Linked DNA regions of Drosophila melanogaster. The protein of the gene in region 2 interacts with the protein of the main gene of each other region in a pairwise test. Each region holds a gene or a part of one and is shown on either strand. Other genes may lie near its edges. The genes, in order: Sbp2, SuUR, Paris and CG7006.

Region 1 (7,598 bases), 2.8 Mb from region 2:
CTTAGGTCTATATAAACCACTTGTGGGAAGTATATTTATTTCCAAAAACTGCCAATGAAACTTTTTGCAAAGTTCTCTAGCTGTTTGTGAAATTATATTTATGTCCTTTGCTTTTGCACCGTTTAAAGGCAATACCAGTAATGCTCTTAATTATTTGCAGGAGGAGCGAAAACAGAATGAACGCCGCCAGAACAAAACTAAATAAACTTTTATGTGTAACAGCCACCACAAGAAAAACATCTGACACGGATTTTGGAGGCAGATTTCTCATTCTAGAAAATTATTCGCATTGAATATTAATAATGCCGTGTACATTTGGCTTTAAATTTACAGACATATATATCCAATATAAAACCCATGAAATTTTTCCATTTAATAAACACCACAAGAAGTAAGCTCATCCGCGTTTCTTGTCCCAAACATGGCGCAGTAGATAGACCATGTTGATAGTATCGATTAGGGGCGGAGGGGTCAATTAATTAGGCTAAGTGCACTCTGCAGGTAATAACTTGATGTTAGTGGGAATCGGTTATTCAAAGCTGTAGTGTTCAATGGACAACATGGCGCAGGCGGAGGACGCAGTGCAACCACTATTGCAGCAGTTCCAGCAACTGTTCTTCATATCCAAGATAGCTGGAATTCTGCCACAGGATCTCGAGAAGTTTCGATCTAGGAATCTGCTGGAGAAATCCCGTAATGGCATGATTTACATGCTGAGTACTTTAATACTCTACGTTGTGCTCTATAATATTTTGATATATTCCTTTGGAGAGGAGGACCGCAGCCTAAAGGCCTCGCAGAGTCAGTTAACCATCCGCCTTGAAAGGTGCAAACTCATAACCATGTTATTCATTCTTCCCAGGCACCTTGACTTTCGTGATTGGCTTGTTCCTGACCTATATCGGTCTGATTATGATGGTCTCCGACCAGTTGACCGCGTTACGAAACCAGGGTAGAATTGGAGAGCTTTACGAGCGCATCCGTCTGGTGGATGAGCGCCTTTACAAAGAGGGGTGTGTTATGGACAACAGTACAATTGGACGGCGCATACGAATTATGCTGATCATGACGGTCATCTTTGAGTTGTCCATTTTGGTGAGCACCTATGTCAAGCTGGTGGACTATAGTCAATGGATGTCCTTGTTATGGATAGTGTCCGCCATTCCCACGTTCATCAACACGCTAGACAAGATCTGGTTCGCTGTTTCGTTATATGCGTTGAAAGAACGCTTCGAGGCCATAAACGCCACCCTAGAGGAACTGGTGGACACGCACGAGAAGCATAAGCTGTGGCTGCGAGGCAATCAAGAGGTTCCGCCTCCTCTGGACAGCTCCCAGCCGCCTCAGTATGACAGCAACCTGGAGTATCTGTACAAGGAACTAGGAGGTATGGACATAGGTTCCATTGGCAAGAGTTCAGTGTCTGGTTCGGGGAAAAACAAAGTAGCACCAGTGGCCCACTCCATGAACTCCTTTGGTGAAGCAATTGATGCGGCCAGCAGGAAGCCTCCACCGCCTCCCCTGGCCACTAACATGGTCCATGAAAGCGAGCTGGGAAATGCCGCTAAGGTAGAGGAGAAACTAAACAACCTGTGCCAGGTGCACGACGAGATCTGTGAAATCGGAAAAGCTTTGAACGAGCTGTGGAGCTATCCCATTCTATCTCTAATGGCCTATGGTTTTCTGATTTTCACTGCTCAACTTTATTTCCTCTACTGCGCTACACAGTACCAATCGATACCATCGCTTTTCCGTTCCGCCAAGAATCCCTTCATCACTGTTATAGTTCTAAGTTATACGTCTGGAAAATGCGTGTACCTCATCTACCTGAGTTGGAAAACGTCGCAGGCCTCCAAGCGCACAGGAATCAGTCTGCACAAATGTGGCGTGGTGGCCGATGATAATCTTCTCTACGAAATTGTTAACCACCTATCGCTAAAATTGCTCAACCACTCGGTGGACTTTTCGGCTTGCGGCTTCTTTACCCTGGACATGGAAACATTGTATGGTGTGAGTGGCGGGATCACTAGCTACCTGATCATCCTGATTCAGTTCAATTTGGCCGCCCAGCAGGCCAAAGAGGCTATACAGACGTTCAACTCGCTTAATGACACCGCCGGCTTGGTTGGTGCCGCCACCGATATGGATAATATTAGCTCCACGCTGCGTGATTTCGTCACCACGACCATGACACCGGCGGTCTAAACTTTGTTTTCTTGAATGTTTTATTCGATGTTTCGAGCACGTCCTCCTGGCACTTTTACTTATATTTATTTGTCACGAAATAAACTCTCACGAAGCAGTTCTGCGTTTGTACTCCGCACGGGCATCCTCTATTTCATTAAGAAGATCTGCGTAGGTTGCATTCGCTCCGTCAAAGTCAAGGATAGCAACGCAACAAATTTGCGCTCGCTTTTGGAGGGCATAAGAAAGCTCCCTTCTCAGCAGAGGAAAGCAATAGGGCACTTGTTGCTGCTGGCATTGGAATTTCAAGCCTTCTATAGTCGCATCTAGACCACCTTTTTAAGCGGATATTATTAATGGCTGATTTGCGAACAATTCGATTACTCACTTTCGCCGGGGCAGATTTCGCAGTCAGTGGCCAGGAACAACAATTTCACCTTGTTTATCCTTAGCCTCGCCAGAGCTTCTCGAACACCCAAAACCAGGCGGGGATGTGCACGCGCTTTAATCTCGTTTTTGGCAAAGGCGCGCTTCTGAAATCGATCCAGGTCCCTTAACAACTGAGTGGACAACTCCTTGAGGCGAGGACGGGTGCAGTTGTCACAATAGCTGGAAGAGATCAAACATGATATTTCAACGTTTAAAGAAGGTACAACCAGTGTAATCAAACCTTCTAAATCGCCGTGAGTGAATGGCATGTACTGTTTTTGCTTGTGAAGGGTTGTTGGGTGCAGGGGTTTTACTAAGTGATAGGTTTTGAACTTGTTGCTCCAGCGGAATAGCATTCGGATTGATATCTTGACCAACTACTGGGACTCCTTCAAGATCATTCTCTGCGACTTCTCTCTCCGCCTTCTTTGAAGTGCGATATACACGTACGGACTTCTTCAACCTGGTGATCTTCTTCTTGGGATCAAGGCGGGTTTTGCCCTTGGGTTTGTAAACTATGTAGCTACCTCTTGTTATGGCTAAATGTGTCTTTTGAAGTTTATGTGCCTTTGTTTGCCTTTGTGTTTTTGGTCTCGGCTTGATGACAAAGTCCAGAAGAGAGGTTTGCTGCTCCCGTTTCCTGTGCTGGTTTTTGTACTTGGAGCTGCGTGGAGTAATCTTGATCGCTGTATCCTGGACATCCTGATTCCTGCTCCTCCTTATTTTTTCAGTCATTTATTGTGGATTCTTAGTGCATCTCTAAAATAGTGTTGGTCGTCGCGGTAAATGGTGAAATCGCTTTTTCACCACACATGAATGCGAAGAATCAGCGCGGTACAACAACGTAATTAATAAAATCAAGAACCGCAGCAAATGCGGCCTCATTCGTTCCTAAAAGTTTTGATTTGGAAGTTCAACGTTAGGCTTCTGTGAAAAAATGAGTACCGCTAATCATTTTCAAAGAATTCTTGAGAAATTGTCAATCTCTGACAATGAAAGGGCCGTATATACCAAGGAAGCCGAGGAAATTCAAAACTATGTAGTTGACGAACTTAAGCGGGTAGACAAAACCTTTCGCCAGGTATTCGACGGACTCAGTCTTGGAGGTAAGTTATTTAATTTTAAATATCTACATATATTCTACATATATTCTACATATATTTCTATATAAAAACAAAACAAATAAATAGAATAATGTTAGTTACAAGACATTGTCTGGTCGATTTTCTAATGCATTCAATATTATTTTTAATAAAAGTGTAAATTGACGGAAGTAATACAAATGTAAGTCGAGATAATCCAACGCTATACAATTACAATTGATATCTCTTGCTTTATTTTGTTTTATCATTTTTGCAAGAAATGTTGTACTTTCGTAAATTCATCGTTATGTATGTACATTATGTACCTAAAAATATATGTACACGTATCTTTTAGGAAGTTACTTGGATCGCGTCAAGCTAAATTTGCCCGATGAATTTGATCTGCACATGAAACTAAAGTTTCCATTTGATATCCGACCGACTCGGATCGACCAAGGGTTTATTTATTTAGAGGCTGATCTCACCGTAATCAATCCCCAACGCATCCATCGTATTGTACTTCAAGACTGGCTACGCAATGCATTCCGCAAGGTATTCAGGTCTAATCAGACAATTGCCACTACCAGTAATCGAGTCTACAAATTAACCTATACTCTTGAGGGGTATGGTTGTGCCCATACCATTTTAGCCGTTTGTGGTAGTCGCTCGATATCTTTTGATTTGGTACCAGCATTCGAATTCTCTGGAAGCCAATGGCCGTTTGATATTTGCCCGGTTCCTGCTGATGTTAGCAATAATTGGCCATGGTTCGCCATTCCGCAACAGAAGAAGAAGTCGGCTAAACCGAGAACCACATTCATGGTTTGTGCACCACATTGGGAGCGCGAAATTATGAAGGGCAAGGATAATTTGAAGAACGTTCTACGGCTGATGAAAGGATTGCGGGATGCCCACGCCAGGAAATTGCCTCACTTGTCCAGCTACATGTTGAAAACAGTTTTGCTTCATCGCCTCGAAAGTGCTGACTGGGAAAGAGACCTGGGCACCCTATTGGTTGAGATGTGGAGTCATTTGGTGGATCATCTACGCGCTCGTAGACTGGAGTTCTTTTTGGCTAAGGATCATAATGTATTCAATCGTATGAATCAAAATGAAATCAAGATATGTCTAGAAAACGCAAGCACTCTGCTAAGAAAGCTTTGTATTGCTCAGACATGCGGTGGTAGCTACCATCATGTGGCCCAACTATTCAATATTCCAAATTAAGAAGAATTTAATTTCAAAACAATACCGAGCCTTTTTCATGCCATTTGCAGAAAGGAAAAAGCGTACATGCACACATTTGGCTCATTCACAAGGGCGCAGAACAAATATTCGATTATATCCGAGGCTGAATAAGCACATATCTTGCTGAGTAACAGAACTTTAGTGGAAGAAAAAAGAAGTTGAATCAAAAGTCATTTCGGCCGCACATTTGATTGTTTACATTGTCCCTGAACTTTGTTTAAAAATAAAGCTACGAAAAAAAATTGATTTACCCTTTGTTTATATGTATGTATATTTATACAACTATGAGTGTTAAATATCTTATGAAGAGACAACTTTAGCCTTACGATCTACAGGAAATATCAACGGTAACTTTTAACTAAAGTTATATTTCAGGGGGATTTCGCTATAATCGAATGCTGCTTTCGATGGACATGTGCAAGTTGTTGAACTCCCTTAGGTGCGAAAGGATGTCGTCCCGCTCCCGTTCATAGATATCCCAGAATTTGAGATATTGGTTAACGTGCTGGAGTACCAGGTTGCGGGCAAAGTCAAGACAGCTCCTAACGTTACGCATCCGCCGCCTGCAGCTGGTCAAGACCGAACGCACCTGCTGCTCCGGCTCCAATTGGGCGATCACAAATGCAAAAACGTTTTGCACATCAATCCGCACATCGGTTGGGAAAACCACGGATTCCGCGCTCTTTGCCTGGGGGAAGACAATTAGAGACGGCGTGGTTGGCATGGCCAACTCCCAGGGCAGATCATTAGCCTGGCTATCGAAGCGTACAAAGTGCACCTCGGGGCTGCCGAGCAGCGCCGAAACCTGCAGAAATGCTTGGGATAGAACGGCTGACAGAGCGCAGTCAGGACGATGCATAAATACCACATTGGTGACATTTGGTCGCTGGATTGCCTGCAACAGCATCTGTCTATTGTATTTTCTACTGAACCCAGATTCCATCATGGCAAGAGCATTTTTGTGAGTCCTTGGCAATGTTCTGGCGTAAAACTGCCGTATAAAATCTTTAAGAGCTACGTAGGAGAATGTGTGTTGCTGTGGCATAACATACAGTGACTCTTCAGCCGCATCCAAGATGAAAACCTGCACCTGCTGATGGGTTTGCTGAATGCCAAGCTGGTGTAGATAGTCTCTATATTTCACAGAATCGAAGATCACCACGCCCAGCGACCGATTGTGGGCTGCGCGCTCCGTCGAGTGCTGCCAAATGAGCTGGCCATATTTGGTTACCATTTTGGCAATGCCGATTTTTATGGCCGGCGTTCCATGCTGTGAGTGTGCCAGGCAAAGGTTTCTGGAGTGAAGCCGCAGCAAGTGGGGGACGTTTCGATAACTCGGATGGTTCTGGTGCGAGTACTGCCTCCATAGGTGGTTTAGATACCTATTAATCCGATAATAGTTCTTAAGTGTGGTCTTGTTTTTACTCCAGGCCGGGTAACATGTCCGGGTTTGTTCACCATCCCCAAACAGCTCCTTGGGAACTTGATTTAGGGAGGAGGATATGTCTTCAGATTGTTTATCGAATTTTTTCCAGTAGTCTTCGCACCCCTCCGACTGCTTTTTTTGAGCGTAAGCCATCTCCTCGCCCATGACGCTAGCATGGTGATATTGGTTCATTCGAACTCCCATAGCCAGCACGGGGACATGTCGTGCCTTCATGGCGATGGTCATAGGAGTGCCATAGCCATTGGAGAACAGCGACATATTTTTGAGTGTGCTCCGTACCCAGCGCAGAATGTCGATGGTCTTCCATACTCCAGATGTACCATTAAACGTATGAACTCCATTTCGGCTGTCGATAACTACAAACTGGGGCAGCTTGGCCTCCGAGGACTTCAACATCTTCCTGGCACTGTTGCCAAAGTACACGGTGAAGCGGATATTCCTCTCCGGATCCAGTTCCAGCCAGCGCAGACCGGCAGCCAAGTAAAGATTGTAGGCCTTGTCGTCTGGCGAGTCAAGCAGACCCAAAACCACCGCATCCGAGTGCTTCCGAATGGCGGCGAGATCCTGACTACTGTGTGCCCGGTCCAGTGGCTGAAGCAGGTTATTCATGAACCGGGCGAGATCTTCAAAGCTCCACGAGCCCTGGTACTGGAGTAACTGCTTTTGGCCGTAGCGCACGATCAGCGTGGGCCATTTGTCAGGATAACCTCCTGCGCCGGCGACTCCTGGTGCCGGCATCAAAGTACGGCTGCAATTGCACTGCAAGTGCCAGCAATCGATGGCTCCAAAGAAGCCATACTCCTGGTAATAGTGGGCCAGTCCATTGTAGACCAGTCGTGCCTGCCGTGCTTCGCTGGCCCAGGACACGTAGTAAAATAGCAGCGAGATCTCTGACTCTGACGCTTCCGCACGGAGCTGGGGAACACTGCGTCCGGGACACTCGACAATGGGAGCCTGGTCGGATGTGGCTGACCTTGAGGCGTCCAACTGAGCGATAGAGAGAGCCAGGAGCAGCAGGCTCAAAATTATTTTCATTGCAACCGGTGGGAAGCTAATTAGATGTTAAGAACAACACAACAGCAACCGCCGTGAACAGATGTTTGCCGCGAGGATGGCCACACTGGTAACGTCGGTAGTGTTGTTAATAATAATAATTTATAAGTAATGACTAAATCTAAATTTTAAATTTGAAAATAATTCTTTAAATA
Region 2 (6,835 bases):
CACGGTGCAGTACACAGAGCGACTATCCCATTGGCCATACTGGCTGAATACGGCTACGGCCAAGTACGTGGTCACCAAGTCATTACCCGGAGTATCGCCCGTGGCCTATGCCATTAAGTCCACGCATCAGACTTGCTTCTTTGCCGGATTCTATTGCCGTAAGATAAGACGGAAGTGATATGAATGCCCTCGCTAATCGTAAATGAATCTCTATTGCAGTACAATCACTGAGTGAATTCACGTTCAGAAACTCCAATGGTGATACCTTTGCCCAGGAGAACATCCAGTATCAGTGTCCACCACTCTTGGGCGGCATGTGTAGGCGGGAACTGGAGTTCCAGCGCCAGGCGGTGATGCACAACTTAACGATAATATTCGGAAAACAGAGAGGATAGCATACCAGGATCTAGTTCAAATTTAAATCATATGTGCAAACAACTAATTGACTTACCTACCAATAATCTTAATTCCTAATAAAAAAAAAACACACACAATACTTTGTTTTTAAATGTAAACCCTGTGTTTATTTAACGATGATACAAAATTACACGGTACTTGCTTCTAAAAACGATATCTTTCGTTACTTTAAAATTGTTGAATACACTTTGAATGCGTATTGAAATAATTTAAAAAAAAAAAAACACGTCTAAATCAGGTGGCACATTTTGGAAAATGAATTGAGAAACTAGATAAACTTGTGAACTAATAATTTACCAATTATATCTACTTACAAGATACGCATACAATATTATGCAGTGTCTTTTCAATTTTATGGTAACCTTACTCTTCAAAATGCGCACACAAAGTATAATTTTAACTAAATTAGCTAGACGGTCCTGTGCAATTTGATTTTACAACCTCATATTTGGATGCTGTTAACTTTTGATTTCGTACTATATGTTATATATTCCTTCATTCATTATATATTCAATAATTGGATTTGATTTGATTTGGTTTTTGTCATTTTCATTGATTGCTGTTCATCACTTGAACAGTTCCAATCGCTTTCTTTTGGTCGGTCCTGATGCTCCACCACTTCTCGCCGATCGCGTTTGACAAGCTGCTGCACTTGTGGATGAATTCACCGGCGTACTTGGTGCACTAACCGATTCCACGGAGCTGGTCTGTGAGGCTCCACCGCCGAAGACGGAGCCAAACCAGCGTGTTAGTTTCGTGGCCTGAGTGGATTTAGCACCCTGTTTGGGAGATTTGGGTGACTTGCGCAGCGATGCAAGAATGGAATTGCGATTACCATTCGAAGGTTGCGTTCGCTCCTGCGTAATTCCAGAACCTATCAAATAATTGGTGATTTTATTGGCCTGCGACGGCCTGACGGACTGTTGATCCGGTTGCACGGGCGATACTTCGCCAGAGGAGTTCAATCGCATGCGACTGCCAAATTGGCCATTGTTCGTTATCTCAAAGAAGTCATCTTCCAGCAGGGTTCTTCTTCTCTGCGTAATGGTAGACTCTGCATCATCCTTCTGGGTCAGTGGCAAGGTTGGCAAGACTTTGGGACTAGTTTTAGCCGACTGCTGTTGTCGTGGCTCGAACATTTGCTCCAGGATATCCAAACACGAGCGATCTCGCTTCTTTTTTGGCACCGATATATTTACTTTCGCTAGCTGCTGCTGAAACTGCTTCACCTCAGAGCCAAAGATCTTAAAGCCTTCGAAGGGCGATGAGGGTCTTGGTTGCGCCAGCGGAATCTGCGAGTGTTCCGAGGATATGCTAAATAGATCTGGAGATTTGTTGGCACTCCTCTTGGCCGGTGGTAGACCCAATCCGCCGCCGAAACTTGAATTGACGGACGTCACGGGTTTGCGTTTTCTTTTCAAAGCCTTGGTGCGACGACTCTGCGATGGATCCTGCGGAGAACACTCATCGTGCGAGCTATTGATCACCACTGTCTCAACTGGATCTTTGTAAAGCGGAATAGACACCACCTCAGAATCGTTGAGCAAATTGTGTGTAGACGGCAAGGTTAGAAGCATTGGAGTTTGTTGAGGTGTAAAGGGCACACGAAAAGCGGGCGACTCAATGGCATCCAAATTGTCTGGTATTCGCTGAGCACATTGCATGTACTCCGAGGACAACGAGCTACCACTGAGAACTTGAGGAGTAGGTGGCAAGTGCTTTGAATTCGGCTTAGTCTTTGTCTTCCCCAAATCTTCAGTCTTGGTTTGGCATTTTCTCGGACGTCCAGGCTTTCGTTTCGCAGTTCCTTGAGCAGGTACATCCACCGTCTTCTGTTTCTTTTCCTGCCCGACTTTAGACTTAGGCTCCTGCTTCACTATTTGTTTGCTACTTCTGGGCGTTTGGTTACCCTCCAACTTGACTCTCCTTGGAAAGCTACGCTTGACATCATCCAATGAGCGATGTTTCAAGTACTTACTGTTTATTTTTGTTTCAGCGGATCGTGTTAGGCGCTGCATTCCCCTTGTGGCTGGACGACCCACATCCACTGGGCTCACCGTGCGCTTTTTCAGATTTTTTCTTCTAGCTGTGGGCTCCGTTTTGGGCGTTACGATCGCAGTAGTGGTTCTGGACGGTGGTGGTGTGCTCAGAGTATCGAGGGAAACCCTTAAAATTCGAACATTGAGTCTCCTTGTCTTAGGTGTCAGATGAACGGTGGCTGCACGAGTTCTCTTCCTTGGCGGCATATTATCGGTCGCTTCATCATCCTCTTCGGAATCGGTGAGATCAGCTTTTTTGCGCGGTGACGTTTTTTTGCTAAATTTTTTCTTTGATTTCGTCCTTGGTGATTCATTTAATGAGGGCGTTCGATTTTGCGGAGTACTTGGAGGTGTTACAATCTCACAATCATCGCTGGATACAACTAATACCGGGTTTTGATCTGCATCAGGTTCTACTGTTAGGGGTTCATCGTCAGACTCGGAATACTCGAATATCAGCGGTGACATTGCCACATCATCCACGCTGTGCTCGGATAACCTATCCGTTTCTTCAAAGAGCCCAGTTTTATTTTGCTGAGCCGGATTGTTGTCTATGGAAGCGATTGTAGAGCACACATCTGAGCCGCTTATTGTGCTCTGGCTGTTCTTTGAGGCCAACCAGAGATTCAGATTGTGTTTGTATTGCTCCGGTGCGACAAGTGGCAGTGACTTGTCGAATTGATGACGAAAACGACGCAGACGAAAGTCCCTACAAATTATATAAGTTATTTTCATATGCAACTGACTATTCCGGTCTTATGCAACAGTGAAACTGATCGTTGCTGGTTCACCTACTTGATGTACTCGCTGAGGAATCCCCGCTGCTTGTAGTATTCCTCGAGATCTATGCGCTTACTGAATACCTCCTTCGGATCTGGCAGATGGAATTTTCGATCGAAGCTCGCAAAGCTTTTGTACTGATGCTCCAGTCGGCCGCCCAACCGTAGAACATTGTAGAGCAACCTAACGTCGGACTGCAGAGAGAGAGAAACCACATAAGCTAAAATGATATAAACCATATTATGAATGCATTGCCTCACCGTAACGTCAACACTGGAGATAAGAACGTTTACCCGTCCCTCGAATTGCTTCAGCAGCATGGAAGTGCAAAAGCTGTTGTTCAGCGAATGCCCCCGATTATCCACCATAATGTAGTCGAACTTGAGGCGACTGAGATCTCCAATGCTCCGTAGTTGGCTCCATTTCGCCAGGTAAACGCTGTGCGGGGAGTCGGTGGTATCTGTAAAGGCAGAAAGTGAAGGTGTTGAAGTTTAATTTTTAAATGGCAATAATGTGAAATTACGATAACATTCTTATCAACAAATCCATTTAAATATTAGGCATTACCTTGCACCCCCTGAATGATGTACACCTGGAGGTCAGTGAGAGTGTCCAAATGGAATCGCCAACCGGTGAGCAGTTGCTCATCGTTCTGGAGCACCACAAGTGTTTTTTTGGCGGGTGGTAGGGCACTTAGAAGTGCCGCCACCGTAGCGACCTTTCCAAGGCCACTCTCATCATTCAGGATGCAGAATTCCCGCTTAGCCAAACGATCGTAGACGAAGCGGACGGCATCCAGTTGAAAGCTCTTGAGGTACTGCGTCACGTGGCTCGTGACCAGTGCCTCATCTGTGAGCCGCACCTCCGGCGTTTGCTCGGATACAAAGTGATACATGATCCTTCAGAGAATTCGAATCAATGGTGTGCGTGATGCAGGGCCAGATAGATGGCAACCAGGATGTAGAATAGTTGCAGGTACGAGAAGATCACGAACATCGAAAATGAACCAATTATCATCTTTCGCGCCGCAGACGGCCCATCGAATTCGATATTCTCCGGATGCAGTATGTCCACCACGTTGTAGTTGTTGTTGATGATAACAGGATGTTGGATCTCGTACATGTGTTGAAACTAGTTAAGCTTCAATTTTTTCGGAGGACAATTTTCGTCCCTTTTGGGAAATTGGGTTAAGCGCTGTTAGTCATGGCGGGGGCGCGGGAAAAGGCTTAACAATCGAACAAGAAGAAAATATTATTTTTGGCTCCAATTCTATTTCACCATTCACACAGAACCGGCTGCGTCTTGTTGGCGCGATCAGCTGTTGGACGTTGGTAGTGTTGGCAAACGAAGCAATGTCTAGAAATAGCCAAAAGAGATACTGCTCTTGATTAATAGCAAAATATTAAAAAAAACTTACTGAACCGACAAGGATTAGTAAAATACATTAGGTTGGAAACCTTTGGCGAGTAAAATGTTTTTAAATTAAATTATTTATTCTGCCAACTCAAAACTTGTGTAAGGAATTCATTTTTATAGCTGCATTTAGCTCATCACTGTTGCAACTGTTGTGATTTCGTTTGCGGTTTGTTTCGCATGGAATTTGTTTAAATTTATTCAGACCAAATTGCCATGGCTGTTGCAAAGAAGGAAAAATTTGAGGCAAAAAAGAAAAGCCCTGAAAAGGGAAAACAGCAGAAAGCCAAAGTTGTTCCTGTCACACCGCCACCAAATGTAAAACAACGAACTGTGGTCACTCCTTGGCGAGACACGTGCGTAGACAAAAAGTGGAAACAAATCCAATCCGTTGATAAAAACATTACATTTTCAGGCTGGAATTTAATACAACGTACAAATGGTTGTTTGGCAAGTCCAACACACCAGCCACATGGCGTCAAGCGCTCAGTAAAATCCGCATTTGGTGTCTGCGAAGAGGAAGTCTCTGCCCGGCAGCGGTTTTGGCCACATCGGTGCTTGTTCAGGCGCACTTGGAGGACCAGGAGGGCAGCGCCAAAATACAGGACACCTATGCCAGTGCCTTTACACGATTCTACAACTTTATGTCCTCCATTATCCAGGGACACAACATGTCCAGCATGTATGAAACGGCCAAGGAACTGGGCCTCCAGTCGTTCATCGTTGATCTGCGCCACTTGTGCGCCCATGGACAGGAGCTGCCGCCTGTGGAGGTGCTGAGAAACACCTCGAATCATTGTCTGGAGTGGCTGCGCACCTACTACTGGTTGCCACACATGGAAACCATGTCCAATTTGGATGCTGGCAAACTGCATCGCAAGGACAAGCTTAAGTTTGAAAAGGCTGTGACAGATCTTCTGGAGATCTACGATCTAACCCTGGAGTGCCATATCAAGGGGGCTGAGAAACTAAAGGCCATTAGCAAGCTAAAATCCAGTGGTGAATTCAATAAGATACGAGTCTACTCCTCCAGCAAGAAGGCGAAGACATCGAAAGAAATTCTGAGTGCTGTGTTAGGTGATCTAAGTGCGTTGGTCAAAAAGGAGTCATCATCGATGAAGGATCTGCTGGACATATATACAAAATGCCTGCTTAAAATGAAATACTTCCTTGGCGTTGGCTTGGAAATCGACGACAACGAGGATGTCATCATTGCAGCCACACAGGGACTCTTCCGTCTATTGGCCGTGCAGGGATATATCGAGAAGGTTTTTTTGGCCCTAGTTCAACTGAGTGAAAACCAAAACGAGTCGGAGCAAAGGCGTCTGGGAGCCAGCTACTGGGCAAAGAAAATGTTGGAAACATTTGGGATGCTGTTCCGTATGAAGCGCATGTACAAAGCCGAACTGGATTTGGTTAGTATAAATACGGAGTGTGTTAACGATGAAAACACTAAAATATTCTTTATTTTCCAGAACGATAAACTAAAACCAGCGGACTTTGCCACCCTAAACACGGATAAAATTTCTAAGACAATGCGCAGTCTGTTAGTACACTCAAATGCCGATCTCTCGGTTACCCTTATTTTTGGCGACAATCCCAAAAAGTCCAGGTCTTTGATTTTTGATCGTGATTTTATTATGCAGCGTGTTGATGCATTTAGCAATTACTCAGCGCCCATTCTAAAAGGGTAGGTATACATTTTTTTTTGGGTTTACTTGCTTTTGGATTAATAAGATTGACATTTTCTTAGATTATTACCGCTCGCAGATCCTCCATACACCAAGACGCAAATTGAGGATTTAACTAAACTCTGCGATGCACAGCTTGAAGAATTTTATGAAGAGGAAGCTATGGAAGAAGATAGCTCTTCAGAGGAGAGCAACAATCTAGACCGTTTGGAACGATTTTTGGAACAAGCAGCTCAAAGCAAAGAGCATACATCAGACTGGGGAGTTTGGAAATTAGACAAGCGTAAGTTTTGATTTGGCTTTGCATTTATGTGATTTGAAAATTAATCAATTATCGCTCTTACTGTAAATGCTATTTCCAGATACCGATTGGCCCAAATGTGCATTGGGTGTGCTCCCTTGGGCTCAATAAATACGCAGATTAATATTAAATAAAGTAATTAATAAAAACTAGTACTAGATCCAGATTTGAATTTTTATTTGGCGCGCATTTCT
Region 3 (7,516 bases), on a different chromosome or scaffold from region 2:
AGCGCACAAATCCAAGGACGCCATAAGCGGACGTCACCTTGGGCGAACCCGAAAGGGAAGCGACAAAACGTCGGATCTCCAGGCTGTTAAACTCGTTGGCATTCTCCTCGATACTCAGCCGGTTGTGGGCAAGTCGGTCTATGGTCAGGAGGCGAAACCGAGTCTCCCGATTGTTGCTGCCCACCAAATAGAGGCGCTGAAATTATGGCGATATATGTGATTAGTCAAAAAAAGGTCAGCTGGAGGTGATTTCTTACCGCTCGTGTCTCATAGAGCACTACTTTTTGGATGGAGCTTATCAGGGGATTGAAAACTATATTCGGATTATCATTGTTCATTTTTTCAGCTTTTCCGAAATTTTTTTGTTACAATTTCTCAGGCCGCTCCCACATAAACAACAAACAGCTGATCATCATCTGTAGTTGGATATGCGAGAAATGGCCAGTGTTGGCAGCGTGAGAGGGAGTCGATTAATTAATTTTGTTTTGGTTCAATCAAATATAAATAACATTTTATTCCATCATAAAACATATCAAAATAGGCATATTCATTACCAACCAATTTTATGCCTTATTCTTACAATACCTATGAATATGTTAGCTTATTTTATCATCTAGCAAAATCATTTTTGTCCATTTTAAAGTAGTGCACATGGAAGATATGTCTTCCAAGTGTTTTTAAAGTAGTGGTCACTTGTGTATCTCGAGGATATGTCTAGCAAGTGTTTTTCTCTGCTTATAGAAACTGGCACAGTGAGGACACTTAAATGTTCTTTCAGCGTTGTGTACGAGCTTGTGCTCCTTGAGAGTGCTGCTCAGCCGAAAAGTCTTGGGACAGTGGGAGCAGCGAAATGGACGATCTGGTAAGTGCAGGCGGCTGTGCTGCTTGAGGTGCTGCTTCATAGCGAAGGCCTTGGGGCAGTGGGAACACTTGAATGGTCGTTCACCAGTGTGAGAACGGAAATGGTTATCAAGGTGAAACTTCCTCGTAAATGTTTTCGTGCACTTGGAGCACTTGAACGGTCTCTCGCTGCCATGTGTGCGGATGTGACGCCGGAGATCGGATGATTTAATAAAGGTTTTTGAGCACTGTGAACACTTGAATGGTCGTTCGCCAGTGTGAGTTCGCTCATGCGACTGCAGAGTGGACTGCTGCGCAAAGGTCTTGGCGCAGTGGGAACACTCGTAGGGTTTCGCTGCATTGTGGGTCTTCATGTGCGCCTTGAGAGTGACTCTAAGTCTAAAGTTCCGCTTGCAGTAGGGGCATGGGAAGGATTGTCCGTCCATGTGTGTTCGCATGTGCCTCAGAAAAGTTCCCTTTCGCTGGTATTTCTTGTGGCATTCTCGACATTCGAATGCTACCTTCTTGCTGTCGCTTTTCCCATCGTCATCAGCAGCGGATGCAGAATCAATCCGCGCATCTTCGTCTTCCGAAATCTCCCAGTCTTCTTCTTCGAGCAAGGCGCATAAAGCATCCTCGATGCCTTCATCGCGAACTCGGCAGTAGAACTGGTGGCTTTCCTCACAAGTTTGCCTTATCCCATACGCGCTCTTTACGTCCTCATAGCACTGTGGGCATATCATTTCCGAAAACAAATCGCCACGTTTGACCTCGAATCCGGTGCACTGCGCGATCATCTCGGCAATGGAAACTCTGGTTCTTCGTCTGGCGTCAAATATGTTAACGAGTTTACCAGAAATATCCATACAAACTCGGCATATTTCCGCCATTATCCCTGTAATAAACAATACTTATTAGGCTGAACTTTATGAAGGACTATATTACTTACCTGATGTATATACTAAATAGCTTATAGCTGGAAAAGCAATCTTTTATAATTTAGGAATCCGTTTCATACATCCCAATTAATTGAAAATTAATGCGATTGCCTTGATGAACAATTCAAAATAATAATAAGCTAAACTTCACATTGTGCACAGTACACTGGGCACCCTATTCTCTGGGCCATATGCTAAATCGATTTATTATCGATGTTCGAAATTCAAATTATTTATCAAAATGATGATTTTTGAAACTAAGGTGTGTTTACCATATTTAACAGCTGAGATAAACGCAAACTTGCAAGGGTCGCCCTGTGGTGGTCAGCCCAAGTTTTGATGGGAAAATTCTTATCGGATATCGATATCCTTTACCTGTTGAAGAATATAAAATTGAAATAAATTTCTTTGGAAAAACAAACATTTATCTTCGTATAGTTTTTTCACATTTTCGCCTAGCTAGTGGTGAATAATTTTGGACAGAAGGAGCACTGGACTTTTTCCGTGGAAATCATAGAAAAATTAAATTAAAAAGGCACAAAAAGGAAATGAATCTCCTCGCCGAACTTCTTTGCCAGTATAAAAATAAATTCACATATGAAAAATCGGGTTCCTGGGTGCCACTGAATATGTTTATCCATCGATTCCGGGCTCAGATTACCACCATTGACCTGAAATTAAATAAGCATTACTTACTCCAAATAAAATATAAACAAACAAGTGCGTACCTTTTTTGTTTACAATTTTAACAGCTGATGAGTGAAGTGCTGTTAACCTTTCATAGTTATCGATAATCTGTTATTATTATCGGAATATTGCTCACTTGCTAAGGATTCCATGAAATTTAAACAAATGGACTTTGTGACGACAACTGGGGAGGGAAGTTTTCTGCGAAACAAGATTCGTGCATATGCCAAGGATCACCGTGTTGAGTGCCGCATAAAGGCGAAAGACTCATTGCGCATTGGACTTGGACAGGTTAAGCAGGAAGTGGCGGCTCTTGAGATGGGCACCAAGGACGTCATTGGAATGGCCAGCAGGATCAAGCGTCGCAAGCACGCCACCTCCGAGGATCTGTGCCGCTTGTCGCTGGGGTTCCTCCAGAGCAATGACAACATCAATGCATTCGCAGCTATTCCTGGCGCCATTCAGGTTCTGGTTAAGGAGCTAACTGGTAACCAACTGCACCCTCATTAGCTTTAGTTTTATATAAAAAGGTTGACTTGACTTTCAGGACCTCACATTCAACGACAGACAGATGCCGTGGAGTGCTTGTGTAATCTTTCCTTGGGCGAGGCCCATGTCTCCGAAAAGATTGTCACTTTGGCGGGCAGCTACATGGTCACCTACCTTGATGGCAAGGCCGAACGCCTCAAGCGCAGTTGCCTGTGGACACTGGCCAACGTTCTGGGCACATGCGACAAGGCCGGCAGCGTATTGCTGCAAATGCAAATAGTACCCAAGCTGTGGAGGCTCTACATCGAGCCCAATGGCTGCCAAGAAGATGCGGCCATCTGCCTCTCCCTGGTGGCCACCCGCTGCCCGCAGCATGTGAGTGACGAGGATCGAAGGTACATTGGCCAGAATCTGCCTGAGAAGCTCCACGGCCAGCCTGCCAGCGAGTACTTCATGTACATAGTGCACCAACTGGAAATAGTGACACAGGAGCACAAGTTAGATGCTCAACAGGCCGAATGCCTGGTGCGTTTCTTTGAAGCCACCTTAGCATCGCCAGCCGACCGGCTGTGCCTAATCTACGCCGTGCGTGTAATGACCAATCTGGTAGCCCTAGGTGACACAAGTCTAATATTCGCACTGGCAGACCCGCAGAATCTTGTGCAAACCCTAAACCAGCTCTTCGCTCTGCGAGATCCAGATCTCAACCTGGACGCGATGCGCTTGCTCAAGAACTGTCTGCACTTGAAGGTAGCAGATTCCAACCTGGTACTGAATAGCTTGCAAATATACGCATAGGCTTATGGTTAAGAATAAGTCTTGCAAATCTCTTTATTGGTCTTAGAGTACATATAAATATAAAGCCACGGACTTTTGAGTACTCGAGAATGTATTGTAAATGAACATGGATTGCCGCTAAGCAAAACTAAATCACTAATGGAAACAGAATAAAATAAATAAATAATAAATAAATACAATACGACAAAAACACAGATGCAAAGTGGTCAACATGATTACTAGTTTGATTGAGCCACCGGCATGAAAAACAGGACTTTGTAAAACCTAAATATCATCCTCGAAGAGGGCGATTATTTGACGCCTTTTGGCTTCGTCGTCGGCGTTCAGTTCATTGCCCCTGTGGGCATTGTGGTTGTGCACCTCCAGTTCGGAGACTGAGTCAAATTCTAAATTGCACTGCCCGCAGCGGGCTGAGAAAACGGGCGCTGGACCCTGCGAAACTGTGCCAGGAGAGACAGCGGCCCGTTGCAGCTTCTCGAGGAACGTGGCTCTCTCCCTGTGCTTGTCCAGCCCGATTCCCAGCGCCGCCTTTCCGCGAATGGGAATGGGTTTTTTCACCGTCGGCGTGCCCTGGGAATGGCAACTTTCAGAGCGCTCAATGGCGTACAGCACGTTGTTCTCCTCCGTGATCGGAGTCGTCGTTCCGCTGGCACAGTCGAATAGAGATGGTTCCTGCACCGGCCGGGGATCGGGTATATCTATGGGAATTGGCGGCTCAGCTATCTTCTCACCGTTGGACACCTTCACCTGATTGAGCTTCTCGGCCAGAAGCGAGTCTATGGAATGTTCCTGCAGCCAGGCGCAAGTTTTGTGCAGAGCGAATATCATGCGGCGGATGAACTCGTGCGGCGAGACCATTTTCTGTCGCCTAATCTCGAGCAACTTGGTCACCTCGGTAACAAACGTGACGAACTGGTATTCGACGCAGTTGTCCAGATGCGACTGATGCGAGTCCTCGAACATGAAGCGTTTGGAGCATGCCGGACACTTGCGCTCCTTCCACATGGGCTCCGGTATGTTCACTTTGATGTCGCGCAGCTGCAGCTGATCCTGCTCCATGGGATCGTCCTCCTCGAAGTTGGTCTCGGTGTAGTTATAGCAGTTCTTGTGCTTGCGCAGCAGGGCCGCCTCCTCGTTGTCGTCGCTGGAACTGGCCACCGCATAGTCGTCATCTTCGTCGTCATTTTGGCCACTGCTCGATGGCAGTTCGCCATCCCGCGGTTGCCTGGGCATGCTGTTGTGAGGCTGCTGCTTGTTGAACAGCACGTTTAAGTACTGGATCTTCTGCTCAGCATTGCCGTCTAGCTGGGTAGTCGTCTGATTGAGCAGTCGCTTGTGTACCTTGTCCTTGGATGACTCCAGTTTGTTGGCGCTGTTGTTTAGCAGAAGATTATGCACTGGCCTCTGCTCCACATAATTCAGATCCTCCGCCGTGAAGAGGGCGCTCTCCTTGTCCATCTTGTTCGCATCCGAAACGTTGACCCTCTTCTGCTGGTAGAGCTCCGCCAGCTTGAGACTCAGCGCGTTCTTGATGCACTGTTCCCGGAATGTGACGGCATGCTTGAGATAGGAGATGCACGGCGCACATATGTTGCGTGGCAGTCCGTCGTCCGTGGAGTTCTGCGGTCGGTCGAAAGAGGAGGCACTCATATAAACATTTATCTGGCTACTTTAGAATGGAGTCACTTACTTTCAGGCCCGTCGTCTCCTCCAGCAGAACGTTTATGGGCTTTTGCCAGTTGAGAAACTCGTTTGTGGAGCCGTGCAAATACGTGGGAATCTTGGCGAATATCTCGTAGTCTGCGGGGCTGCTGCAGATGCGGCAGATATTGCCCCACGACGTCATACTTATGGCAAACCTTAAACTTAATGCTTATGCCGGAAAAAATAAACAATGACAATTTTCAACACTCCGGCGAGTGTTGCCCTACCACTGAAGGTTCAAAACTCAACAGTCCACCCACTTGCGGCAGTGATGTCCAGTTAGCTATAACAGGATTACAGCAAATTTTTTGAATATTAATTATTATTAGCTAAACACGTGACAGATATATTAATGACTAAGACGATAGTTTATTTAAGCATAAATAATACTGTTGAAAATACAAACGTAGATTTATTTGATATATATTTACAAAGCTAGATTTTATTAACACCAATTGGCAACAGTGGCCAACAGTCTGTTAATGCTCTTGATCTAGCTGAACTCGGGGGTCACACTGGTGCCCATCTGGAATTGCATAAACAAACCTCGCTACTGGAATAAAATCACAAATATGTCGTTTAATATCATGCAAAAGCTGACCATGCAGTGCCTGAAGGCAGACCAGCCGCTGATGAGTAAGGACTTCCCACGAACCGGTTGCATATTCTAATCAATTCAATCCCATTTAGCCACCGTGCGCAATGCCAGCAAGAAAACCGGCGGAAGTACGAGGAATAAGAAGGGCCATGCGAGGCCCAAACATCGCGGATGGCGCGTCCAGGATGGGCACCACGTCTCCGAGGGCACAATACTGGCCACCCAGCTCACAACGCGCTTTCATCCGGGCCTGAATGTGAGTAGCGCAGGAAGGAGTTATCCCGGCATATTTTTATACTTTTTCCCATTGAAAGGTGGGCTTTGGCCGCAATGGAACCCTTTTCGCCATGGAGCACGGCAAGGTTTATGTGACCTGCGAGGCCATCGATCCCAACTGGGACCACACCTGGATTCAGCGGAACTACGCCGGTCGCCAGGGCCAGAACATCTACAAGAAGTTCTTCAATGTTGTGCCCGAAAATCAGCATCAGCGATTTCGTCTAGTGGAGGAAATCTAGATTGTTAAATACAAAATTTAAACCAAATGGAAATGTGAATATTTGAATTTTTGGCAATTAACATCGATGTGCTTAACAGCACCTGTTATATTTACATGCCAGCACGACCGTTATACAGCACTGTATTTAGCAATGCTCTGAACCAACTATCGAATACACGCCCCGAATTTGAAAAGAAATCCAGTTAATAGCCAGATATCAATGCAACATTTTCGATTATTAATTTCGCAAAACTTTTTACATTGCGAACTTCAAAAACAAAAACTACACTTCCCCCTTTTTTAGCCAAGCCGAACGCTATTGAACTGTAAAATGAACTTTAATAATAAGCCATAATCATCTATAAGAAATTATAAAATTATGCACATGACGGTATAGGCACTGCCTACAGAATTTCGCTTAAATCAAGTACACGTTTTATCCTATGAATGTAAAAACTTATTTAGTATTGTTGTAGTGAAATTCAATTTAACGCTTATATATGCAGTATTATGTTTAATTATTCATGATTATATATTTTCATAATGCATATAGACTTAAATTTATCTTAAATATAATGGTGTGTACGAGATATTTTTTCAGACTAAAATGGTAGTTAGGGGTATATGTTTTCTGTCCGGATGGTATTTCGTATTTTTTGTTATCGCCGCCGGGCGGTCACACTGCTACAACCGCAGCCAACTTCGCTTCTTTCTTTCCTACAATTTTAAAGATGGTGAGTGGACGTCGGTAAATGTGGTGCACCTAAAATGTGGTTTGTGGGCAGGCGAATGATGTGGAATAGAAATAAGAGCTCACTCAAAGTGCCGCAGCATGCCTGCCCACTGACTGCAATGGCCAAGTGAGCATAGCGACTGGAGCAAGTAAACATAACCTCCAGCACGTGGGTGAAAATGATTGAGGAATGCTCAATGAAAACACGTTTCTTTTCTGCTCTCCCTTAC
Region 4 (6,961 bases), on a different chromosome or scaffold from region 2:
GCCCAAACCAAAACAAATAAGACAAAGGGAAACGCCCTCGGATGTAAAATACTTTCGGTGTGAGAAGCGCCAGCTTGTTTGACATCATCCAAAATTAGCAGACGACTTCGGCAGCTGGAGAATCCCCCCAAGATCACCGTCTGCCATCATCGTTGAGGTCCCCGTATAAAACCAGTTACCGGCATCTTGACGTGTACACTCATTAAAAATTATGCTATTTTGCCAGCTGACTGATACGCGTAGTATTCAAGTCATTTGACTGCGATTAGGAAACGAAATGCACAACGGAGAAGGCAGAACGAAAAATACCCAAACATTGAGTGGTTTCAAAACGTGGAAGGCAGTTAGAGCTCTTAAAGATCGACTACGGGAATACCTCATAGAAAGTTTGAGTACTTCGTTTTTAGGTAAATCACCCTTTCATTTTATAGTTATCTCTTGGTAACCGCAAACCTTAAGTATTTTTATATTTCATTATAACATATTATTAGATATAAGATGTCATATAAGCTTTTTAAATAGTTGGTATGAAATATAGCACCGTCGCTTGCTTTGCCAATTTTGATCTTGGCCGGGCTATAAAGACAGTGATATTTATGGGCTTTTAACACTAACAGCACGTTTCAATTAATTTAAATAATTCCATTTGTCACAGCATCAGCTGTCTAGGAAGTTTTTTGCGATATTCGCTTGAATTTCGATGTTCATCTTGAACTTCAACATAACTTCAATCAGCATAAATATAGAAAGTTTGCGATCGGCAACTAAGGTTACAATCAATGCATTTCAAAATAATTTGTTCAAAGCGTTAAGACACCATTGATTTCCATAGAAACACAATACGACCCCAAGCTGTGCATTTAAATATTTATTTACCCATGACATTTTTTGGTCTCACCTTTTGTTTGGTTAGCAAAGGGTCTATACGTTTATAAAGTGTCAAGTTCATTTGGAAATATTCAGAATACTTGCACTACTATTTGTGGAATGAGCTGGGGCTCCGATTTTGTTACTTCCTTTAATCCAAACAAATATAGCATTTTATAATGATGTCTGGTACGGAGATGATGATATTAATACAAGTCAGCGCGCCGAAGGCAGATCAATTAGCCTTGTCGCGAACTCATTGATAAGGCAATATCTCATTAAGCGTACCTAAAAATATGTTAATGTTAATGGCATTTAAGAGATGCTCGATAACGCGGAGGATAAAACCCAAAAACAGGCAAAACTACTCCATTTGGTAGCAGCATGGGGTGCAGGCATCCGAATGCAAGATCAAAATGCAACATTTGGGCAGTGTCTCTTCGTCTGCAGTCAGTCGTGTTTGTGGCCAAATCTGGTTTTTCTGAGATCTTAGCACCTGACTGCCAGTGGTAACCCCCGGCGACTAGAAACCTCCGAAAGACAACAAAAGATTATAATGACAAAAAAAAAAAAAAAAACAGAAGCATCTACCTGCTGCTGCAATGAATGGAAATTTTCTCCCTAAAAAAAGTCCCGGGTATTAATACACTCGGTTCGGGTCCAAAAATCAGGGTAACTTTCCACTCATTTGTTCCAAAATATCACAGATACCCGATACATAAATACACAACGAACAACGGGCTCACGTGTTGAGCGAATGCTCCCTAAAATGCCGAGCCAGCCAAATAATTACGGACTAATACGAAAAGAATTTACAACTTCCTTTCTTCTCTTTTCTGTACTAATTTTTTAACTTTTTTTCTTCGATTTTCGTTTTGCTGCTCAATGGTTTTTTTTTTTTGTTTTTGTTTTTGGGCAGTAAGTGCTCATAAGACAAAAAACGAAACACGCGATGGGAACTTCGCTTTATCGTAGTTTTCCTACATTTTCCCCCTCGTCGGATTATCAGCTTCACAGGGCAACCCGCATATCGTCGATCGTCCCGGTTTCCCAAAACAATAATAATAATAATAATAACAAGCCAGATTCCAGACCCGAAACCCACCAACGACCCGACTCAACGCGACTCGAAAATAGTTAACAACAAACGGAGCGACGAAGATGACGAGAACAACAAAGTTTTGAATTTTATAAAAGACAAGGTTCGCATCAAGTACAAAACAGTTTCGTTCGAAACGCTGCCGTGTGAAGAGCCAAGCGACCAGAACCGATCGTTCGAACAACGGGCATCTTTCAGATACTATCCAAATACCCGACTTGGCACTTAGATTTAGTGTCACCTGGTGCCATCCGCCGGCAATTATAACTCAAGCCAACTTGTGTTTTGTGGGCAGTGTTTGTTTGTTTGTTTTGATCAGAGCTGCTGTTGCCACCCCCGCTCCAAAGATGAAATCCAATCCGGCCTCGGATCACGTCTACTTCAACGACGGATTCAAGTGCTCCACGATCAGCATCAGCACCAATCTCACCGAACCCAATGGGAGCAGCAACAGCGTGGGATCCCAGGGATCCAAGGAGTTTATACGTGAGTCTAAAGTATTAAGACATTTAGCCAACTATTGGGAGTGATTATGAAACCAAATAGAGGAGTTAAATTAAATATAGTAATTTGCTGCCGTAAAATCAATCACATTGTATTTGTAATAAATTTTAGATGAGTTCGTGTAGAATGATCTTTTAATAAGTAATAAAATAGCTTGACGGGACTAACAAAAGCCAAATACAAACTGTACACATTTAATAGTCTAGCAATTGCAATTGATTTATTGTAATTTTTTTTTTTTTACGAATTACCAAACATTAAAATTGTGACTCAAATAGCTTTAGCAATTTTGGCTATTAGCTGGTGAATTATGAACTACAAAATCAAATTAAATTAATTATTTTGTAGGAACAAGTTAATGAGCTTTCGGAGTCACGAGAGCTGCCCATTTAAGTACTATTACCTAAGCTCTTTAGTTTGGAAGCAACTTATGCCACAAGTTACAGATTGATTTCATAGTTAGTTATTTCCCTGTTAGTTGCAATTAAAGTAATGGAATTCAGCGAATGTTTCTGGCAAGAAAAACGTTGCATCAAGTATACGCCTCGTGCTCCCCGCTCGGAGATACTCGTAAATGCAATTGTTTTCCACGTTTTCTCAGCTACAAAACTTTTGCTTTGGCCTTGACAATGAAATTCACGTAGATCAGAATGAAAACCAAAAGCAATTAAAATAGCAGAAAGCAAACTGAAACTAAATGGAAGGGTGGGAACCAGCAAAAACTCGATCGAGCGTGGGGTTCTGCAGTACGTGCTAATGAATCAGTGCTGTTTTAGCCATTTCATCGAATCTCTCTTGATTTCCGACATATCTTTTGCAGTCACTGAAGACGGCAAGAAGGTGAAGCCAACAGTGAGCACACTGGACTGCACACGCAGTTGGCTGCAGGATTGCCAGCGGCGCACCTTCAATCGCAAGACCCTGCACAAGAGACTCCCGATCCTCGGATGGCTCCCCAAGTACAACAGCCAGGATGCTGTGGGCGACCTGGTGGCGGGCATCACAGTTGGTCTCACCGTCATACCACAGGCACTGGCCTATGCGGGAATAGCAGGACTGCCCGTAGCCGTAAGTAGCACATACATATATAAATATTACTTACAAGTATAAATTGTAATCGACATGTTCCTTTGGGCAGTATGGCTTGTATGCCTCCTTTGTGGGCTGCTTTGTGTACATATTCCTGGGCAGCTGCAAGGATGTACCCATGGGGCCATCTGCGATTGTGGCCCTGCTTACTTATCAGGCTGCTCAAGGATCTTGGCAGAAATCGGTGTTGCTCTGCCTGCTCAGTGGAATTGTGGAGCTGCTGATGGGCCTCTTCGGACTGGGCTTCCTGATTGACTTCGTCTCCGGACCAGTTTCCTCGGGCTTCACCTCCGCCGTCTCGCTGATCATCCTCACCTCGCAGATCCAAAGTGTGCTGGGCATCACGGCCAAGGGCAACACCTTCGTGGAGATCTGGACGCAAGTCTTCCACAACATCGAGCACACAAGGGCAGGAGACACGGTACTAGGGCTAACCTGCATTGTCATCCTGCTGTTGATGCGCAGTCTGTCTTCCTGTCGAATTGGACCAGTCGACGAGAAGGAATGCTCATCCTTCCAGCGGGCTGTGAACAAGATCCTTTGGATCGTGGGTACTGCTCGAAATGCCATTCTGGTGGTCGTTTGCTGCATCATGGGCTATATGCTCCACACCGAGGAGCACGGAGCTCCGTTTCGAGTGGTGGGAGAGATACCACCCGGGCTCCCCAGCATCCAGTTGCCACCCACATCGTTGACTGCCAATGAAACCAGCAATGGAGTGGCCGAGGGATTCGTGGAAATGGTTCACAGCATGGGTTCCGGCTTGGTGGTGATTCCCTTGATCTCGCTCATGGAAAACATAGCCATCTGCAAAGCGTTTGGTGAGTCTTAAGCTCTATCTTTCCCTATATGGTTCCCTATAATAATAGTTGATCCTTTCAGCCAATGGCAAGCCAGTGGATGCCTCGCAGGAATTGATTGCCATTGGAACGGCCAACATCTTCAACTCTTTTGTCCAAGCCTTTCCGGGCACTGGAGCCCTTAGTCGTGGAGCAGTCAATAATGCCAGTGGTGTCCGTACTCCCCTGAGCAATATTTACTCCGGTGGCCTGGTCATGATTGCCCTGCTCTTCCTCACGCCCTACTTCTACTTCATTCCACGCCCTACCCTGGCAGCCATCATTATATCCGCCGTGGTCTTCATGATTGAAGTAAAGGTGGTCAAGCCCATGTGGAGATCGAAGAGTAAGTCATACAAAATATGGAGATAGTGGTCATTTGTTCATCTCACTTTAATAACCCATTAGAAAGTGATCTGGTGCCTGGAGTTGGAACCTTTGTGGCCTGCCTTGTCTTGCCGCTGGAGTGGGGCATCCTCATTGGAGTGGGACTCAATGTCATCTTTATCCTCTACCATGCTGCGCGTCCCAAGCTGAGCACCGAGCTACTGACCACACAGTCGGGTGTGGAGTACTCAATGATCACGCCAGATCGATGCCTGATCTTCCCGTCTGTGGATTATGTGAGGAATCTGGTCAACAAGCAGTCCATTAGGCAAAATGTCCCAGTGGTCATAGATGCGTCGCATGTCTACGGGGCTGACTTCACAACGGCCACGGTTATAGACTCGCTGATCAGTGATTTCAATCAGCGAGGACAACTGCTCTTCTTCTACAACCTCAAACCGAGTATCTGCTCCATTTTCGAGCACGTGTCGGCGGCCCAGTTCGTGGTCTACTACCAGGAGCAGCAGTTGGATGAGCTGCTCAAGGAGCGCAACTATGTGCAGAAGCGGCTCGAGACGGCCTAACTGGCTTATTCTCCTCAACACGTGATACAAATAATTTAGCCTAAGTGTTTGCTTTAATTATTTATGGCGTTGTAAATAGATTGTAAACTAATTGTGTAGTATTATCCAGAGCACACAACTATTAGAAATTGTAAGGTGAACAAATAAGTGTATTTCTTAATTACGTAATAATAACAAACAAAAATAATTTATCTTGTTTATTTCATGAAAGAGTAAAAGTCAGTGAGATTGGTTAACTCAAATCAATTAAAACTATTATTCAGTTTTGTTTATCAGATATATTTGATTTTGAATTTAAATACTTGGGCAATATACAACACTTGATAATGGCGCTATACAGCACTCTTAAGCTATCGATAAAAGCTATAGATAGACCGATATATTCAGTGCTGTTAGCCGTCCCTACTCAACACTGAAACATTTCTCACGTGTAAAGTTGAGCAGTTTGTTTTCCTCTTTTTTCCGCTTAATTTAACTTAAAATGAAACGCCTGAGCGACGAACGTGCCAAGATCTTGTTCGAGCACCTGTCCAAATAGTGAGTACCCAAAACAGATCATCGCAATGCAGCTAACAAGTGCTCTTACAGCATTGGCACAAATGTGAAGCATTTGATTGACCGGCCAGATGGAACATATTGCTTTCGGGAGCACAAGGATCGGGTCTACTACGTCTCGGAGCGGATTTTGAAGCTGAGCGAGTGCTTCGGCTACAAGCAGCTGGTGTGCGTGGGCACCTGCTTCGGCAAGTTCTCCAAGACCAACAAACTGAAGTTCCATATCACGGCCCTCTACTACTTGGCGCCCTACGCCCAGTACAAGGTGTGGGTGAAGCCCTCCTTCGAGCAGCAGTTTCTCTACGGCAACCACATACCCAAAACAGGACTGGGTCGCATCACGGAGAACGCCGGCCAGTACCAGGGCGTGGTGGTCTACTCCATGAACGACCTGCCTCTGGGCTTCGGCGTACTGGCGCGTTCCACAACGGACTGCAAGACCGCCGATCCCATGACCACCGTATGCTTTCATCAGTCGGATATCGGCGAATATATTCGCGCCGAGGACACGCTCTTTTAGATCCATAGATGCTAAGTTTTTACATGTTTTGTAGCAATAACCATGTTTAGGTAAATAATAAGTATGCTGAAAAACGGATAAACTGCTTTTGATTTTATATTTTTAATGTTAATACTGATAATAATAATAATTGATAATAAAACTTACACTACATTTCATAAATTATTATTAAAAAAAAAAATTTTAAATAGTGAGCCAATATTTTGTGGTATATTTTATGCAAGGTATTTTTTGAGTTTGAAATAGTATATACCCGCATTTTCAATGCCAATGGTATTTTGTACCGAAACGGTCACACGCAACACTGCAATTTCTGGACGCGATTTCGTGGGAATCTTCGATGGAAATGCGTCTGAATGCGGCTTCCATATGGCTGTTAATACTGTCGTATGGAGCAACTATTGGTAATAATCAGGACGAAAACAAAGTGGAGCTTCCAGTAGCGACCGGCGTCGAAAACCCGCACGCCCACTTTTTAATATAGGCCAAATAACCTGAGTCATCTAACCCGAACTTTCTTTGTCCACAGCTCAAGGAGAAAGAACCCGCGATAAGATGTACGAGCCCATTGGAGGAG

What was found.
Region 1: the proteins of SuUR (region 2) and Sbp2 interact in a two-hybrid assay, tested with the Drosophila melanogaster proteins (one study listed by BioGRID).
Region 3: the proteins of SuUR (region 2) and Paris interact in a two-hybrid assay, tested with the Drosophila melanogaster proteins (one study listed by BioGRID).
Region 4: the proteins of SuUR (region 2) and CG7006 interact in a two-hybrid assay, tested with the Drosophila melanogaster proteins (one study listed by BioGRID).

The regions. Positions count from the first base shown.
Region 1 is NT_037436.4:8,299,943-8,307,540, reverse strand, and holds Sbp2 (SECIS-binding protein 2), read right to left. Parts: upstream 3,385-7,598; 5' UTR 3,349-3,384; coding exon 2,855-3,348; intron 2,794-2,854; coding exon 2,573-2,793; intron 2,520-2,572; coding exon 2,293-2,519; 3' UTR 2,216-2,292; downstream 1-2,215. Other genes in the region: BI-1 (Bax Inhibitor-1), read left to right, coding at 161-205; Gr66a (gustatory receptor 66a), read left to right, coding at 561-801, 863-2,205; CG7194 (uncharacterized protein), read left to right, coding at 3,551-3,719, 4,051-4,922; CG13671 (uncharacterized protein), read right to left, coding at 5,329-7,425.
Region 2 is NT_037436.4:11,062,691-11,069,525, reverse strand, and holds SuUR (suppressor of Under-Replication), read right to left. Parts: upstream 4,536-6,835; 5' UTR 4,359-4,535; coding exon of another isoform or gene 4,152-4,358; 5' UTR 4,132-4,151; coding exon 3,804-4,131; intron 3,697-3,803; coding exon 3,497-3,696; intron 3,431-3,496; coding exon 3,252-3,430; intron 3,166-3,251; coding exon 984-3,165; 3' UTR 501-983; downstream 1-500. Other genes in the region: CG6310 (uncharacterized protein), read left to right, coding at 1-158, 220-395; CG45101 (uncharacterized protein), read right to left, coding at 4,152-4,358; CG32075 (uncharacterized protein), read left to right, coding at 4,866-5,005, 5,065-6,064, 6,125-6,339, 6,403-6,623, 6,703-6,752.
Region 3 is NT_033779.5:4,458,060-4,465,575, reverse strand, and holds Paris (parkin interacting substrate), read right to left. Parts: upstream 1,966-7,516; 5' UTR 1,790-1,965; intron 1,736-1,789; 5' UTR 1,731-1,735; coding exon 690-1,730; 3' UTR 501-689; downstream 1-500. Other genes in the region: FIG4 phosphoinositide 5-phosphatase, read right to left, coding at 1-196, 258-338; CG15443 (uncharacterized protein), read left to right, coding at 2,616-2,952, 3,013-3,752; CG15435 (uncharacterized protein), read right to left, coding at 4,017-5,372, 5,443-5,598; mRpL27 (mitochondrial ribosomal protein L27), read left to right, coding at 6,044-6,092, 6,147-6,310, 6,369-6,572; RpL27A (ribosomal protein L27A), read left to right, coding at 7,285-7,287.
Region 4 is NT_033777.3:24,844,925-24,851,885, forward strand, and holds CG7006 (uncharacterized protein), read left to right. Parts: upstream 1-5,702; 5' UTR 5,703-5,790; coding exon 5,791-5,846; intron 5,847-5,897; coding exon 5,898-6,384; 3' UTR 6,385-6,461; downstream 6,462-6,961. Other genes in the region: Esp (epidermal stripes and patches), read left to right, coding at 2,314-2,452, 3,291-3,538, 3,609-4,380, 4,442-4,744, 4,807-5,309; Nct (nicastrin), read left to right, coding at 6,725-6,788, 6,914-6,961.